Linked DNA regions of Cricetulus griseus. The protein of the gene in region 4 interacts with the protein of the main gene of each other region in a biochemical or structural test. Links are inferred from orthologs where the notes say so. Each region holds a gene or a part of one and is shown on either strand. Other genes may lie near its edges. The genes, in order: Snx9, Grb2, Itsn1, Dnm2 and Sh3gl2.

Region 1 (3,518 bases), on a different chromosome or scaffold from region 4:
GTGTTTTCATTTTCATTATTGAATTGTCGTGGGGCAGGTGTTGCAGTTTGGAGATTTTATTTACTTTTGTTTTATATGTATGTGTGTTTTGCCTGCTTGTACGTCTGTACACTGTGAGTGTGCAAAGCTCTCAAGGCCAGAAGAGGGATCTTGGATTGGATCTCCTGGAACTGGAGTTACAGACAAGTGTTAGCCACCATTTGTGTGCTGGGAACAGCCAATGCTCCTAACTGCTGAGCAGTCTCTCCAGGATTTCACTATGGAATTACATGAGTTCCCTGTATAGTTGGAATACTGACCCTTTTATCACATATGGGGGGTCATAAATACATTCTCTTCCATCTGTAAACTGTGTGTTTATTTGCTGAGTATTACTTCCTGTGTTGTGCAGGAGCCTGTTGGATTGATGTGGTCCTACTTGGTATTTTTGCTTTAGTTCCCTGACTTCAGTGTGACACCTAAACACAGAGCTAAGGGCATGTCAGGGGATTTTTCTCGTCATTATCCTCTGGTTTTATGGTTTGTGGTCTTACATTTAAGTAATTGATTTTCTGTTGACATTTTTAGATAATGCAAAATAAGGGCCCAGGTTTTATTCTTGGGTGTGGACATCCAGTTTCCCTAGCACCTCTGACTGAAGAACCTGTCCATTGAGGCACTTCTAAAGAGTTTGTTAACCTGATTGCCTTGTTTAACTTAGTTAGGATTTGTCTTTTGCATAAAAAAAAAAAAAAGCCAAATCCCTAGGTCAAGCCTTGAGACTGACTGAAAAGCCTCTGTTCTTCATATCCACACAACAGTCAGCCCTGGACTCTGCTTTTCGGCTCCTTGAAAAGTGGCTAGCTCAAGAAGTTGTTACTCAAATTTAAGCAATCTCATTATATTTTCTTTCTTGCTAGCAACTGGTGATGATGATGAATGGGACGAAGACTGGGATGATCCCAAGTCCTCTTCATCTTACTTTAAGGATTCAGAGTCCACTGAAGCAGGGGGTATCCAGCGAGGAAACAGTCGTCCAGGTGCCTCTTCCATGAAGCTGCCCCTTAACAAGTAAGTTTATAGGGGAGCAGAGGATGCACACACACACACACACACACACACACACACACACACACACACACACACACACACACACACTACCCCCCCCCACACACACACACTGAAATGTAAGAGAAGTTTTACCTTTTTCTAATTAGTGATCTCCTGAATTTGGAGTCTTATATGCCCTTTGAATCATAGATTAGAAGCTGCTTTTGTCCCATCACAGGGTTAATGAGTGAAGTGTTTATTCAGTTACCATGCATGGCCCACAGCTGTAATCCCAACACACAGGCAGTGGAAGCATGAGAGTCTGAGGTCCATGACAGTCCTCAACTATAGGCAGCAAGTGTGAAGCCGGCTACCTTCAAAATGCTTTTCATCACTTTTACATCAATAAAAATAAGTATCACTAGGAAATATTTTTACATAAGGAAGCTAAAAATAATGTTAATAACAAGTCTCTTAATGTTTTACTGTTTTATCAATCACTTCCCATGTGCCGGGCATTGTGCAGAGTGGTTCGTGGGCACCCTTAGGTCCCTTTGTGGTGTAGATTCCTGTTTTACTACAGGGAAAACTGAAGCCTCTTCACATTCACACAGCTGGTAGGTGGGAGACTTAGGATTCCAGGCCCTCAGGACACAGAGCTTGTGATCCCAGACCTGCAGGATGTGTTTCACCTAGAGTTCTTTCAGCATAAGGAAAACTGCATTCGTGGAACTTGTAGATCCACTGCTTGTGAATGTGGACACAGCCCTGAGGGATTCTGGGTAGATCCACCCACTGCTTGTGAAGGTGGACACAGCCCCGAGGGATTCTGGTATGAGGAATGATGTCAGTGAACTCTCTTCTCCCAATAGTCATACAGTGTATCCCAAACTGCTATTCCTGTCTCGGTACTACAATTCAAAGTGGATTCAGAGGTTGTTAATCTGTGTCTGAATTGGTTTTATTTTTTGAAAGCCTTTGTTTAGCATATATCTAGAGATTAGGGTCAAGGTCTTGTACCTTGAGTAATGGGGCCTCCATAGTCTATCTAAATAGCAAGGGATTAATTGAGCTTTTAGACCACACACTTTCGTGTGTCTCCTGTTCCTTCCATCATAGTTTTTGTGCTCAGCTGGGTGTGTAATAAAATTAGTCATGGCCATCACTGCTTGCTTATCTCCCAGACTACAGACAGCGTCCTCACTAGGATTGGCTGTGGTGGGCATTGTTCCCAGTGGTTATTTCAGCCTAAATGTAAAATAAGTTTAAAGCCCTTTTACATGTAGTTTATCTCTTGGTCCTCTGAAAAGCAGAGACAACAAAACAAACAAGCAGCTGTAGTTTCCTGGCCAGCGCAGGAGTCTAACTCCTTCCCTACCTCTGCTCAGCCCTTGCTCCCAGGTTTGTACCGAGTCTGATAACCTGTTTCAATCCAGTCATCTCGTCTCTGAAGCAAAGAGGTTGGCTTTAAAGATTCTTTGTACTCTAAAATGGCATTCCAGGCTGAAATCAAACTAGGTCGGGCAAATTTGAACCTGTGCCTCCAAGACTTCTCTCTGTGGTACACGGAACGACCTACATATAGCCTTATATATTTTTAAGTACCCGCAGCTTTTCAACAATTCATTGATATGTTAGCTATAGTCTAGCTCTAGAATATAAACCTTGTGCCAGAAAAGGAAGCTGAAAATCTAAACATACTGGAGCATTGTGAGAACACATCTTGATAATGATAAAAAATTAATATATTATATTGCTGTTTGCCTAATAATTATTGACTCTGAATAGATGTGGACGTGTTAGCAAGTGGCCATTGCTCTAAATAGCCAACTCAAATTGACATACTGCATCCTGGGGTACAGAGAGACTTCTTTATGTCTGCCCGTCCCTCTGTTATTGGTAACAGCTTGTTAAGCAGGCAGAATACCAGTGAACACTACACCTGCTGGAGCCAATGCTTCCTTCCCCTGCTCAAGCTTCCCTGAGTGGCTAACTGGCCTCTGGGCCACCTGATTATACTTTATGGTTTTCATCTTAACGACAGAACAAGGTTAGAACTGGTGTGTTGAGGCCACGTGGTGAGAACTGTAGAATTTGTATGAGGAAGGACTGAGACTCACAGTACTTATGTTCATTATCAGGTTTCCTGGATTTGCAAAGCCTGGCATGGAACAATACTTGTTGGCCAAGCAGCTAGCAAAACCCAAAGAGAAAATCCCCATCATTGTAAGTTTGTTTGTTCTCATGAGTTTGCTTTATTTCTAATTAAAGTGTTTTATAACGCCTGAGCTAAGAAGGCTAGTCTTTTTGGAAGTGTTGTTAAGCATGCTTACACTGTCCCATGTTGATAACGTCATTAGGAGTGCTAAAACTAGTCAGTATAAGTTAATGATTGTCACTGCTTCTCAGTTTTCTCCATGTTTATCTTTCAACTATTAATGTTCAACCATCGCTTGTGCACTTTAAAACTTTTTCTCTTCTAAAATGTC
Region 2 (2,692 bases), on a different chromosome or scaffold from region 4:
ACGCACTGACCAAGGTCTTGCTCCATTGCCCACGCTGGGAACTGGGTGTAGCAGGTGTGGGTTTCAGGGTTCTGTTAACTAGCATCATGGCGAATGAATGAATGAATGAATGAATGAATGAATGAATGAATGAATTGCCTGACTGGCCTTGAACTTTCCATCTTCCTGCCTTCACTTTTGTGTAGTAGGAATATCAGGCCTCCAATCTAGGCACCAGAACAAAGTTATGCTTTTTGTCTAAATGGCCTCAAACTCAGGGATTCACCTGCCTCTGCCTCCCGAGTGCTGGAATTAAAGGCGTGGACTGCCACAGCTGGCTTGCAGTATTTTTTTTTTTTTTTTCAAACTCAGTGTAAGAATAGTTTCCTCTTGCAACCAGGACTTTTGAAGGTCTTTTTGTTTGTTTGGTTTGGTTTTTCCAGACAGGGTTTCTCTGTGTAACAGCCCTGGCTGTCCTGGAAGTCATGTGATCTGTGAGCCAGGCAGGCTGGCCTTGAACTCAAAGAGATCCACCCGCCTCTGCCTCCTGAGCGCTGGGACTGAAGGCGAGCGCCACCTGGCTTGAAGCTCCTGGCCAGACACATGTGCGGATGGCTCTGACAGCATGTGGAGCTGGGCTTGTAGAATTACCATTTTATGCTTCAGCAGCTTGTGTGTCATCTGCTTTTTTGGCCTCTGCTGCCCCTAGTAGCAGTAAAACAGCTTAGGAAGGAGAAAGAAGTAACCAACCAGTGGGTAGCAACAGACCCTGCTCTGTGCGTTTCCTGAAGATGCCCTTAAGGCCAAGCTGTTCCCTTCCATCAAAGGAAGTCTTGTAAGGGATGGAGACCTAGCCCAGTGTGTGTGAGGTCTACGAGAGCTAGTTCCAGGACAAGCCTCCAAAGCCACAAACTCTCCCCCCCCCCAATAAATAAATAAATAAATAAAACTTTAAAAATTAAACTTTAAAAAAAGTTAATGTGCTATCACTTTAGGAATAAAATAAGGGGGAGGATAGAGTACCTACCTCACAAACATGAGGGCCCGAGTTAGGACCCATCGTGTAAAAGCTGGGGTAAAAGAGAGACAGGTATCCCTGGAGCCAGGAGGCCAGCTAGCCTGGCCTAATCAGTGAGCTGCTGGTTCTGAGAGAATATGGCAGAGACTTCCATCATTGACTTCGGTTTCCACACACATGCTGGCACACGTGCACACGGAGAGGTGGGCAGAGAGAGAGAGTATGAAATACTGCCTTTAACACAGGCATCTTCACAGAACCAAGGGCTTCACACGGCCTCAATCTCGGAGATGGTGCACTGGTTTCGAGATGTCAGAGTCTGGTTAAAAGGCCGTGGTAGAAGTGACCCTGGCAGTCAGTGACCTGCACTCTCCGGAAGCCAGGTGCAAACCCAGAAGGGCCCTCGACAAGGCCTTCGGATGTGCAGTCCTCTGCTTTCGCCAGCGCATTGGCTTCCAAGTGAAAATGTGATAATGAAGTTGTCTGACTGCTTTGGTCTTGCTTTCCTCCATTTCAGTTACCAAGATCAAGTGGAAACTGCAGAAATAACTCCTGGATTTTAAATAACTTAAATGATTTCATATTGCTGCAATGTGTGTCCATAGGGGAAACAGTGTATCTGGTTTCAGATTTGCCCTGAGTGTTAGTTAGGAAGCGCTAGTGTCCTGCCCCCCCTAGCTTGAAGCTCGGTGCTGCCTCCTGCTGGATTGTCTTCAGAATGCCTTCACCTTTTTTAAGCCCTAAACTGGAGAGACTCCTGGAAAAGATTTGAAGGCTTGGCAGTGATCAGGAAGCAAGGTCCTGGCTGAGTGACTGTCATGCCCAGGTGTCACTAGGGCAGACCCTGTGATCCGGCCAGCATCAGTAATCACACTTGTTAGCCTTGTTGTCAACTGATAAGAGTGTTTGTTTCTTCATATTTGGTTCTCGTTACCCTGAAAAAGAAACAGTATGGCAGTAACTCAATGGAAAGCATGGCTTTGGTGGCACACATGTCATCCCAGCCCTGGGGAGGCTGAGTCAGGAGATCACCATGAGTTTTAGACCTGCTTAGCCAGTTAGTGAGCTCAAAGCCAACCTGAGCGAGGGTTTGGATGTCACATGGCTTTTTTACCTGTAAAGCAGATAAGCTTGGACCTTCATTACTGGGCTGTGTGAGTAGATCATCAGGTGTCTGCAGAGTGAGACTAGTGGGTGGACTGCCCTCGTGAAGACTGTTCCTGGGGCCAGCAGTCAGGAGAGGTCTAGGGGAGGCTCCCGGAACAGTCCCCACTCTGTCCAGCTGAAGACTCGGTTGCTGTGCAGCTATCATGTCCACAAGTTCTGCAAAGCCACCCCAGGGACCCTCAGGACAGCCCTGCAGCTGGCTGCTTCATGCCATTCTCCTCCCATCCTCAGGTTTGGAAATGATGTCCAGCACTTCAAGGTGCTCCGAGACGGGGCCGGGAAGTACTTCCTGTGGGTGGTGAAATTTAACTCTTTGAATGAACTGGTGGACTACCACAGATCCACGTCAGTGTCCAGGAACCAGCAGATATTCCTGCGGGACATAGAGCAGGTGCCACAGGTAAGCCAGGGCCTCCGCAGCACCACTCTGTGCACCAGGCTGCCTTCATCCACACTGAGGATCTGCAGTTGTCAGTCAGGTAGTTTTGCCACCAGGGAGAAGTGCTTCCAGACCCGGGTGGGCTGTCT
Region 3 (3,518 bases), about 130 Mb from region 4:
CCTTTCCTCAGTCACCAAGAGGTTGACTCTCGCTATCCATGATGGCCTCTTCTCCGTCCTGAGTGCTCTCTGATAGCACGACCACCTCTGTCCTCCCGAGTTCTAGAGCTCACCCTTGCCTACACAGTTTTACTCACGCCTCACCCACAGCACCTCCTGGGTGGCTGAGCACCGATGGGATACGCTTCGGTGCTGAGTGTAGGTAGAAACAAAGGAACACCGTGCAGCGTCCTCCCTCGCCCCAGCCGCTTGCTCTCAGCCATGTCCACTCCCTTGGATTTCATGGTGCTTGCTACAGCCAGCCGCTTGCTCTCAGCCATGTCCCGCCAGTGTGCCAGACAGCCCCAATTCCACCACCGTGTACTCAACTCCTCCTTACTAGACTCTCTCTCCCTTCCTCACCTGGCTCACTCCTTTCCCTCTGCCCAACCCTGCCGTGTCTTCCCGTTTCCGTGGCTTGGGCACAGAGACTCTGCAGGCTCTAGGCTTTCACGTAAGTGCCCTGCTGAGCACGGCCGCTCAGCAACTCCAGTCTTCTTGCATACCAACCATTTCCCCATGGATCTGCCCGGTGTCTCCTCCAACTTAAGCATCTCCAGAACAGAAAACCCCTGTGATCCCCTGGGGCCTCCCAGATGGGCATTTGCTGTGTGATTCATTAATCTCATTCCTTCATCATTACTACATTAACATAAAGAGAAAGGTTCATGACAACAACCCCTACACTTTCAGAAATACTGTTCCTTAGCAGGGCCTCCCATTAACCTGAAATTGGTCTGCCTTTTTCAGTAGGGACCAAGGGGTAGTCAAATAGGCTGACCCAGAGTTTTCTTTATGAACACCCTGACTCCTCATGGCAGGTTCGGTACCTTTTTAACCGATCATCATTGCAGCTCTGATGCTGCTTTTTCAATGAAGCTTCTTAGACACAGGCGGGACAGTTTACGCCCTCTGAACTCTGAGGTTTACACTGAGTCTCAGGTTTCTGAACTAGGTCCAGCCAGCCAGCCCAGCTTCATGGCAAGAGCCTGCATTGCTGAAGCTGCTGGTGTAATAACACTAGCTGCAGACCACTCAGTCTTCACGCCCTCCACAACTGCCCCTACCTGGCCCAGGACGGGAGACGGGGAGGAGCCAGTGGCTGTGGCTGGTGTAAAGGCAGACCTCTGCCTTAACTGGCCAGCGCTGGGTACCGTGAGAGAAGGCTGAGCAGCCCATGCGTCCCAGTTATCCGTTTCTGGTTTCTCGCTTGTGCTGGCGGGCCACCTGGAAGGAAAAACACATGTCATAAGCAGTAAGCACTTTCTAGTGTCCTGACATTACAGGACACCCACACAAACAAGGAGGGCACCCCGGGGGAACAGAAATCGATGACATTTATGTGGGCTTCTCTAGTTGAGAAGAGGATGAGAAAGAATGCCAGGCTCAGGTTTGACTCTGCTACACACACTGCAGCATTCCCCAGGCCGATTAGAAGACTGTTCTTTCTTTCATCTTGAGTTCTTCTCTAGAACAACACCCTGACAGTCTGGGTTAGTTGTGAGGGTCGCCTCGATCGGTAGGCAGCAAACACCCACAAGTGCTAGAATGACTATGACAGCAGCAGCTAAGTAAGAAGGAATTGAGTGTTGCACCCGGAGACACTGCAGCTTGGCGGCCAAGTTCCGTGTGCCCCACAGCAAACACCTGGCCAGGTGCCTGGAGGCCACAGTAACCACAAGTGGCTCACCTAGCAGGCGAGGTGCCCCATCTCAGGACAGTCCCAATTTTGTGGTTTTATACCTTTAGGTAAGGTTATGTGTTTGCGTGCAGAGCTGAATGTGATGTGCTGTTTATATCTTTATCAGACTATACGCAGATTTAAAAATCAAAATACCCACTCCCCAGACTGTTCATCTTGATGTTGGTTTGGAAAGATGCTTTTATGTACATCAGAAGACTTGTACGCCACAGAGCTCTTAAGAAAGAGACAGTGATCTGGTTCACAGAAGAAACAAAACCACCACCACCACCACCACCACCACCACCACCACCACCATGACATTAGGGCTGGGACTAGAGCCGCCTCGCATGCACAAAGCCCTAGGACTCATCCCCAGCACCATACACGGTAGGCGTGGTAAGGCACTTGGGAGGTGGAGGCCTTGGTAGACGCTCAAGATGGGTCTGAGGTTAGTTTTGGCTATATGAGACTCTACCTTAGCAAACAACCACGGTACCAATTCTATATCTTAACTGGAGCTTTGTTTTGGGAAGTCAAGAGCTTTTCAAGCAAGACCAAAAAAGGTAGAGCTAGTCTGGCTTAAAGCACAGGCCGGTAGAAAGCTGCTTCTTAAGCAGAGGCTCCGAGGGCATTCTTCAGCATCTTCAACCTTTATCCTCCAATGCATGCGAGGAAAGCCGTGGTTCTTCCTGGCCTCAGTCACCACTCTGCTTCTCTTCCCCTGTTTGTTTCATCTGGTCCTTCTCTAAAAATAGCCTCGATGCCTTGCCTTTCTTCTAAGAATGTCGTTTCTTCTAAGGGGTTATTTAATTTGAAAAGAGATGTAAAGCCCTTCCTACTCCTACTCTTACTGTATATTAGCTGGGAATATTTTTGGACAAGTGCACATGTAGGCCACGGACCTACAAAAGGGGGTCCAGGCAGCAGCTTCATCTATCATTTGAAACCTCTGCTCACATGCTGCTTGCCGAATGCCATTTCCTGATGACAGGGGCATGTCCCCTTCTCTACACTGCCCATTTACTCAAGGTTAGCAACAGCAGAAATCATCCACAGAAACTGCTTTCTGTCTTATTCCAAACCACCTGACTGCTTGCAATTTTTGTTCCTTGCTAATGAAATCGTGTCATTTCCCAGCCTGCAGGAAGTAAATGAAAATTCTGCTGACCAACATAACTGTCAACACAGATTATTAGGAAGTTGCATTTCTCCATTTCTTCTTCCAAAATGAAACATACAGATAAATACAGATGGCTTTCTTTTGTACGCTGGCAAACCGCTGTTTGGAAATGGTATTATTAAATCTAGTTTGGAGGCCAAGGACCCCAACTTGTCAGTAGACCAGACAGAGGAAGGGGTCATGAACACATGCTATCTCCCTTTCAAAGGTGAACAACTCAAGACTACAAATCAGAAGAAGGAAGAGGGGCTGGAGAGATGGCTCAGCAGTTAAGGGCACTGACTGCTCTTCCAGAGGACATGGGTTCAAATCCGAGCACCCATATGCAAGTCAACACTGTACCTCCAAGATCTGACTGACACTCTCACACAAATGTACTTGCAGGCAGAACACTAATGCATATAAAATGAAAGTAAATAATTATTTAAAAAAAAAGAAGAAAAAGGAAAGGATGACTAAGTTTGGATGTCAAACCTGTCAAAGTCAGCATATTAACACGTACGTGGAACTGAAGTCTGCCCAGTTGTTGGGGGTTGTAGAGGGCTCAGAAGAGGTCACTGGCAAGGGAGCAGGGGTCTCACGCAGAGCCAGTTTGGGGATAGGGGCAGATGTCAG
Region 4 (4,244 bases):
TGAGTTCAACACTATCCTGGTCTCCAGGACAGCCTCCAAAGCCACAGAGAAACCCTGTCTCGAAAAACAAAACAAAACAACACCACAAAAAAGAACACTTTTTGCTCCTGCAGAGGATCTGGGTTTTGTTCCCAGCACCTACACTGTGGTTCACAGCCATGCAGAATTCCAGTCCTAGGGGATCTGACACTTCTGATTTCTGCGGGCACCAGGCACATTATGTGGTGCACATAAAAATAAAATAAATATTTTAAAACGTTTCAATATTTTATGTAAAATTTTAAGATTGATTTATGTAACAATTTTTTATGTACAAGGGTGTTTTGCCTGCATGTAAGCATGTGTATCATATTTGTGTCAGATCCTGTGGAGGCCAGAGGAGGATGTCAGATTCCTGGAACTGGAACTACTGATGGTTGTGAGCTGTCATGCAGGTGCTGGGAACCAAACTCGGGCCCTCTGCAAAGGCAGCAAGCACAAAGCCATCTCTCTAGGAGCAATAGAAAAAAATTTTCTTAAGTAAAAATAAACCTAGGCTTATAGTCACCGGTAAAAGACTTGCTTAGCTTCATGAGGCTATGGACTCATCCCCAGGAACATTCAGGAACATGCGCGGAAGAACGAGTGGATTCAGACACCACACTCACAACCTGCTATGAAACTCATCTTCCACTGGCACTGCACTCTTCCAGAGCTGGCATCTGTGGTGCTTCCTAAGATACAAGTTTTCTCCCAGTGCCTAAAAACGCAGGCGTGATGATCACTGAACCTTTTCTCGAGGTGTGGCGCTTTCCAAGTACTGTGGCCCTCTGCTTAGAAAGAATATCACAAACTGACAACAAAAGCCAGGAAAAGCTGGGAAGAACTGACTGACAGACACTGCTGTCAGTCAGAATCAGGACATAGACGCTAGTAGCCTGTAATTCTAGCAGGAGGGATACTGAGACAGGAGGATCACCTCGAGTTTGCGGCCAACCTATGGTTCAGAAAGAGCAGAAAAAAAAAGGGTTGTGGCTCTCTTCTTTCATTGGTCAGAGGGACGAAGTGATATTTACATCAACCAATGAGAAAATTTTACGGAACTAACTAGTGTCAAGTGACAACCCTGTGTTTAAGGATCGATTCCTTACACCATTGGCAGGCTGACGTTTCCAGAGACCAATAAGACAACCCAGATCAACCTAGTGAGCAGAGGCTTCGCTGTCTTTACCCGAGACCCCGCCTTCCGGGCGTGACACCCCGGTTTCCACTTCTATTGGCTTTCTCATATTAGTGACAGTTCTACTACCCAATGAAGGTGAAAGACTAGTCCTTCCTCGTGCCTTTTCTACTGGCTCCCATTCTTGAGTGGCAGCATTCTTGACCAATTGGCATAGCATTAGGGCTCCTGGCTCCGCCCCGGAGGCCGGGCGGGGAGGTCGCTCGGGTCGGGTGTCGCCTGAGAACCGGATGAGGCGGCGACTGTGAGGCCGAGCCGTGAGCGGGCGTCGCGGCGAAGTGGAGCCCGGGCGGGCTGGTGGAGCGAAGCGGGAGGAAGCAACGGCCACAGACGCCTCGGAGCCGCGTGTCGTAGCCAGGGGAGCCGCGGGGCGGAGGCTGGCACCATGGGCAACCGCGGGATGGAAGAGCTCATCCCGCTGGTTAACAAGCTGCAGGACGCCTTCAGCTCCATCGGCCAGAGCTGCCACCTGGACCTGCCGCAGATCGCCGTGGTGGGCGGCCAGAGCGCCGGCAAGAGTTCGGTGCTCGAGAACTTCGTGGGCCGGTGAGCGAGCGCGCCGGCGGCAGTTCCCAGGCTCCCGCGGGAGGCCGGGCGGCGGGCGGGCGGCGGCCGGCCTAGGCGCGGAGGGCGGGCGGGGAATGGCGGAACTGCGGCTCGCGGACGTCGTAGCACCCGTGGCAGTGGGTAAGGTCTGTGGCAAGAGCGTCCGTGACTTTCCTCAGGGACCGGAGATGCAGACCCACTTCCGGACCTGTCTGGGGCAAGATGGCCAATGCAGATCCTTCTTGGTGCACTGAGTCCCAGCTATCGCTGGTGAACTGTGACATCGCATTGCCTGTGATCCAGGATAGATCCACTCTTTTCTCCTGCTACCTGTAAATCTTAGTGTGCGTGCTACTGAAGCTACACTTATCATCCAGCCCCCCCATGGGGGATGATCCCTGGGTCTGTCAGGCTGGTTATCTATGTGGAGCCTTCTCTGCCGTCTGGTTAGCTGTTTATTCGTTCTAGACAGGCTTCCTACCGGCACCATTTGGTTGTCCCATCTGTCCAGACCCACCCCGAAGTCCACTGTTGTCTGACTAGCTGTTTATGGTGACCTCTGGTGTGCAAATGCCCATCTGTGCCCTTTGCTTACCCGAGTTGGTCTCTGCCACCTGAACGCCTGAACTTTTAGGGGCCTCTGTTGTCTGGTTCTCTTGGGCCATTGGCTTCTGTCTTCCAAGTGAATCCGTTCCGTTAGTATGCCCTGCTGTTCATTACCGCCCAGTCAACTCTGCCTGTCCCATCCTCTCTGAGTGGGGGGGGGGGGGGCGGGGCGCTTGAGAAGAAACATTCTTTAGGATTCTTTCCTGGCCCAGGATCCTAGAGAAACTACTAGCTGGCTCCTAAGCTAAATCTTCCCGGTTGGAGAGCTCTCCAGACAGCTCTGGGAGCCTCAGCTTGTTCCATCTGTCCAGTGGGCAAATTCCACTTGCAGCTGTTTCTATGATCCAGGAAGTGAGTGAAGGAGGGATGTTGATTTACTCCTATCCCCTCCCCCGCTGCTTTTCACACAGCACCACTTCTCCATTCCAGGAAGTGTTCCATGTATGATGCTGTGGTGTGTGCCCAGTGATAATCTTTGCTTTGCTGTGGACATTATTGTGCCTGTGTGTGTCCGTGTGTCCAAGTGTGTGCCACAGTGCACTTGTGGAGGTCAGAGAACATCATCTTTGTGCAGTCCCTCATTTATGTGGGTCCTGGGGATCAAACTCAGGGCATCAGACCTACATAGCAAGCAAGCCCCTTTGCCCATTGAGCCATATCATTCATTGTCTTTTCATCTGAATGTGTAGCTTTGGAGCCTATCCTGGCACTTGCTCTGTGGCTCAGGCTGACCTTGAACTCAGAGATCCACCTGCCTCTGCCTCCCGAGTGCTGGGATTAAAGGTGTGTGTAGCCACTGCCAGGCTCCATCTGAAATTTTTGAGACGTGGTCTGAGTCTGAAGCTCACGGAGCAGCTAGACTGGCTGGCCAGTGAGCTCCAGTGTATCCACCTCTCTCTGCCTCACCCTAGCATTGGGTTACACAGACACACTCTCTCTCTCTCTCTCTCTCTCTCTCTCTCTCTCTCTCTCTCTCACACACACACACACACACACACACACACACACTCCCTACTTCCTTCCCTCCTTCTCCCTAGTGCATGTTGTTGTTGTTGACAGTCTTTTGTGGAAGGAGGAACATCTCTGAATTTGAGGCTATGTTACTCTACATAGAGTTCTAGGGTAGACAAGGCTATACAGTGAGACCCTGTCGCAAACAAACAAACAAACAAACAAAAAACCCATATAGGTTGGTTCAAGGATGTACTTGGATGTTGGAAGTGTCGATTTAGGCTAAATTAGATGTACCTGTGATCTTAGGTACTCAGGAGTCTGAGGCAGGACAAGGTTTGAGTTTATGGTCACCTTGGGTTGCATTGTTAGATCTTGTCTCAAAAAAAAGCCAGGAGTGGCTTGTGGTTGTAGCTCAGGCATAGAGCAGTTGCCTTGCATGAATAAGGCCCTAGGGGTTAGTCCTTAGCATTAAACCGATAATAAATATTATTGCCATTTATGTTCTCTTTGATTGCTTCATACTCAAAGAGACCTTTGTAAGACTGTGGCTTTTAGGTACTGAATTTTTTATGTATATGTACATACACCTATTTTTAATTAATTTTTTTAGATATAGTCTCACTCTCTAGACCAGGCTGGCCTTGAACCCACAGGGATCCACCTGCTTCTGCCTCCTGGGTGCTGGGATTAAAGGTATGCACCACCATTCCTCTATTTTTCAAAACAAAATTTTGAGACAGTCTCATACTATATAGTCCAGGCTGACCTGGAACTCACCATGTGACACAGGTTGGCCCCCAGAAGTGTAATAATCTTTTCCTGCTTCCACTTTCCAAGTGCTAGGGTCACAGGCATGTACTGCCATGCCTGGCATTAAGTTCTTTTTGCTCTAGAATGTCTTAAGGCCCCTGGGCTGAAG
Region 5 (3,518 bases), on a different chromosome or scaffold from region 4:
GCTTCCCAGCAGCCCCACAAGACAAAAGGAACCAGAAACTAAAGGCACTTCAATCCACTGTCACAACTCAAGTTTGGTTTAACTTCCTTGTTAAATAGTCTTGGCACTATTTTTTTTTTCTTCATCAGGATGTCCTTTATCTGGAAATGTATACGTTTGTTAATATGAATGATGGGCCAGGCTGATGTGGCCCTTAAATATTAGTTGTACTTTTCTTTAGCTAAAAATAAGTAGCTACTATGTCACTCTTAAGCACATTCATATGTTTTCATGATTGTTGTTGGAAATGAGAAGAAATAACCACTCTTTCTAAAACATGGAAAACAGTTGTGCTATTGCTAATAAATTCAACTGGCTTTGCCTCTGACTGGCTGTGAGTTCAAATGCTTTCTAAGAACACCCCTGCCTAAAGGAAACACACACACACACACACACACACACACACACACTTAAGAGTATGAGTTGAAGGTAGGAAATGTGGCCAGAGGGGGAGTTTCTAGAACATTGGCTGTCCCCTCCCTTCCCAGGCCTTTGCTGCTCCTGACTGTGCTGTCATTTTCTTCTGCCCTCATTCATACACACTAAGGAACAAGGGGAAATCATCCTTTTCTCTTCCCTATTAGTCATGGGATACTACAGCTGCCACAGGGGAAGTGCTATTGGTCTTTAAGGGAAAACAAAACAAAAGCAAACCTCCCTAACCAAGTCCCTAAAGGGGTTGGAAACCTTGTTGCAGATAATGCTGCGAGGGATCAAAAGTGACTTGAGGGGCATTTGATGAAATCTCTTCCAAGGTCCCTTGTAGTTTGCTTGGTGACTGACTTGTGTCACCTGTCCATGGAGAAGTTTTAACCTAAGTCATCTGCCCCCTAAAGGCCTCCTCTGTCAAATGGGGCACCTGTTGAGATTACTAGGCTCAGCCCTGGTTTTTCTGACTCAGGTAGTCAGGAATCTGCATTCTTAACAGACACATTAGGTGCTTCTGGTAAACTAGATTAGTAAAGAAAGAAGAAGTTCATTTCTTCGACCTTGAACTCAGAGAAAGGGGCTTTCCTCTGCTTTCTTTGAGATTCCATTTCTCTTGAGAAGATGACTCATGGGCTCTGTGTGTATCCTTTGCTTAAGGAGGAGTGTGGGAAGGATGCACACTCACATTTCCTTCTTGTCATTTGATGGAAGAGGCAAGTTTAACTTGATGTTGGCTTCAAATGCCAAATCCAATCTCTCCAGGGTTTCTCATTCTGAATTATTTGTAAAGATGTCACTGCACAGTTAGCCCTTTGCAGATGCATGTGTCCATTTCTCTGGTGACAAGCCATTTCAAACACAACCAGTCTCATTTTGGAGGCAACCAGGAATGTAAGGGAAATGAGGTACAAGCTGGCCTTTTCCATAATATGCCCTTTGGAAGCATACTCTTGCCCTTGACTTTTTCAGCATCACCTGAAAAAGTTGGAAGGCCGGCGCTTGGACTTTGATTATAAGAAGAAACGACAAGGCAAGATTCCAGATGAAGAACTTCGCCAAGCACTGGAGAAATTCGATGAATCTAAAGAAATCGCCGAGTCGAGCATGTTCAATCTCTTGGAGATGGACGTAAGCTGCTCTCCTTTGGGTTTTCCTTCAATTTTATCATGAAGGCACAGCATGGATGTGTTGAAAGATGATACATTGGGTAACATGCTACTGTCTGGTAACTCTAAATGATGAGAACACATAGATGACTGCTTCTTTTGAATAATTTGTCATAAACTAGGCATGGAACTTAATGAATTTTAAACTATTACCAATAGTGCAGAGATAAAGAATGCTTGGGATAACCCAGGTATAAAACCAGCATCTTAAAAACTACAGTTTAAATATAGAGCATATTGATCTGCAGCTAAGAATGACAACTAAAGTACATTCGGAATTTTGTATTCAAAATTATAAGGTGGTCAATATATGGAAGTAAGGTTGATATTTTCATTGAAAAAGTATACAAAATACAATTGATTATTATAGTATAGGGACTATGTTCGGGGAGTTGTTGGGACGTTTTAGAATTGTTTCTGCATCTCCAGAGTATTAAATTATCACTCCTGGCTTTGGACATTAAATTTTCTTGAGTTCTTTCAGCTATAAAGCTATCTGAACAGTCCTTTCATCCTTATTTCACACGTGTCGAGATCTGAAAAAACAGCTTTCCTGTTGTGGTTCACATCCACCTTTCAAATCCATCAATTCAGTTGCAACGTTTGCAGGATTTTACATACTCATCACTTGCATTGGCAAGGAATCTTCAGAGAAAACCACAAGGATATATACACAGGTGGTGTAGGTGTAGTATGTTTAGCTTGAGATCAGTAGGAAAGTTCAATCACCTATTAAGGAGATTATTGAGGCACAGGTGTCCCACATATACCTCTTGAAGTTTGGGGAACCAGAGAAGCTGGAAACATGGCTCAGGCCAATTCTAAAAGCCCAAGAATGGAAGGCGGTAATGGGCTAATTCATTCCGTATCCAGAGGCTAGAAAACCTAACAGAAGTGGAAAATAAACCCCAAGAATGGAGAGCTGAAAGCTCTGATGTCCAAAAGCAAGAGAAGCAGAATCTCTGGCCTCAGGAGAGAGGAGATTGAATGAATCTCTTTTGCCATTTTCTTTATTTGAACCCTCAACGGACTGGGCAGTGTCTACTATATTAGATATGCACAGCTCATTCTTTGTCCTTGGTTTCAAATGCAAATCTCCTCTGGGAAGCAGACTTGCCAAAGGGGCATGCTTTGCTAGCTTTTTGAGAATCCTTTAAATTAGCCATGTTGTCATCCAAAATTTTCCACCACATTATCTTATCAGCTTACCTCCTAAGAGATAGGGAAGACATATGGAACATGTAGTCCTCTTCTTCCAGAGACAGTGTGGGTTTGCCTACAGACAACTTTTGTCCTTCTAACTACTCAAGTGCAATACTGTAAGAAACTTGATCAGTATGTCTCCTTGTACCCTGGGTCCTCTTCCTACACCCTTCAACCCATAGGGACAGCATTCATTGCCCTTCTTGACTTGGAGGCTAGTACTCAGCTAATCCACAGCACAAGACACCCAAAAGTAAGGCTGCTTAAAAAATTAGATAATTAGCTTTAAATCCCACTTGGATCAAGCTAAGAGGTCAAAAGATTTATTTCATCCCATGGTACCTGAAGTGAGAAATCAATTTTCCTGTTTTTTTTTTTTTATTACCAGCAGTTATTAGAATGTAAAATGAAGCTCTGATTTCATTCATGTTGGCTTCTGGAGGCAAGAAACAGAGTCCTCTAGTCAGTGAATCTTTCTTCTCTAGGACCTCAATGAAAGAAGTTACATCCTATCCAGAAAGTTTATAGTTAAGCACAAAACTGTTTAATGAAAGCAATGAGACCTTCTCAAGGATGCTCATTGCTTCTCCTGATGTACTGCATGCAGGGTCCTAGGCATAAGAATCGTCTCATATTCTAAGTCAACTTAGAACCTGTAGAACCATTGTGTGTGTTCATGGC

What was found.
Region 1: the proteins of Dnm2 (region 4) and Snx9 form a complex in vitro, tested with the Homo sapiens proteins (2 studies listed by BioGRID and IntAct, with this or other methods). The link is inferred for Cricetulus griseus from reciprocal best matches to the Homo sapiens genes DNM2 and SNX9.
Region 2: the proteins of Dnm2 (region 4) and Grb2 form a complex in vitro, tested with the Homo sapiens proteins (3 studies listed by BioGRID and IntAct, with this or other methods). The link is inferred for Cricetulus griseus from reciprocal best matches to the Homo sapiens genes DNM2 and GRB2.
Region 3: the proteins of Dnm2 (region 4) and Itsn1 form a complex in vitro, tested with the Homo sapiens proteins (2 studies listed by BioGRID and IntAct, with this or other methods). The link is inferred for Cricetulus griseus from reciprocal best matches to the Homo sapiens genes DNM2 and ITSN1.
Region 5: the proteins of Dnm2 (region 4) and Sh3gl2 interact in a biophysical measurement, tested with the Homo sapiens proteins (2 studies listed by BioGRID and IntAct, with this or other methods). The link is inferred for Cricetulus griseus from reciprocal best matches to the Homo sapiens genes DNM2 and SH3GL2.

What each region holds. Positions count from the first base shown.
Region 1 is NC_048595.1:287,022,399-287,025,916, forward strand, and holds part of Snx9 (sorting nexin-9), read left to right. Parts: intron 1-899; coding exon 900-1,050; intron 1,051-3,170; coding exon 3,171-3,255; intron 3,256-3,518. UniProt on the Homo sapiens protein: Involved in endocytosis and intracellular vesicle trafficking, both during interphase and at the end of mitosis. Required for efficient progress through mitosis and cytokinesis. Required for normal formation of the cleavage furrow at the end of mitosis.
Region 2 is NC_048600.1:128,242,639-128,245,330, reverse strand, and holds part of Grb2 (growth factor receptor-bound protein 2), read left to right. Parts: intron 1-2,395; coding exon 2,396-2,564; intron 2,565-2,692. UniProt on the Homo sapiens protein: Non-enzymatic adapter protein that plays a pivotal role in precisely regulated signaling cascades from cell surface receptors to cellular responses, including signaling transduction and gene expression.
Region 3 is NC_048597.1:5,929,263-5,932,780, forward strand, and holds part of Itsn1 (intersectin-1), read right to left. Parts: coding exon 3,406-3,518; intron 1,267-3,405; coding exon 1,107-1,266; intron 1-1,106. UniProt on the Homo sapiens protein: Adapter protein that provides a link between the endocytic membrane traffic and the actin assembly machinery. Acts as a guanine nucleotide exchange factor (GEF) for CDC42, and thereby stimulates actin nucleation mediated by WASL and the ARP2/3 complex.
Region 4 is NC_048597.1:134,285,781-134,290,024, forward strand, and holds the start of Dnm2 (dynamin-2), read left to right. Parts: upstream 1-1,437; 5' UTR 1,438-1,604; coding exon 1,605-1,765; intron 1,766-4,244. UniProt on the Homo sapiens protein: Catalyzes the hydrolysis of GTP and utilizes this energy to mediate vesicle scission at plasma membrane during endocytosis and filament remodeling at many actin structures during organization of the actin cytoskeleton.
Region 5 is NC_048595.1:62,452,309-62,455,826, reverse strand, and holds part of Sh3gl2 (endophilin-A1), read left to right. Parts: intron 1-1,437; coding exon 1,438-1,596; intron 1,597-3,518. UniProt on the Homo sapiens protein: Implicated in synaptic vesicle endocytosis. May recruit other proteins to membranes with high curvature. Required for BDNF-dependent dendrite outgrowth.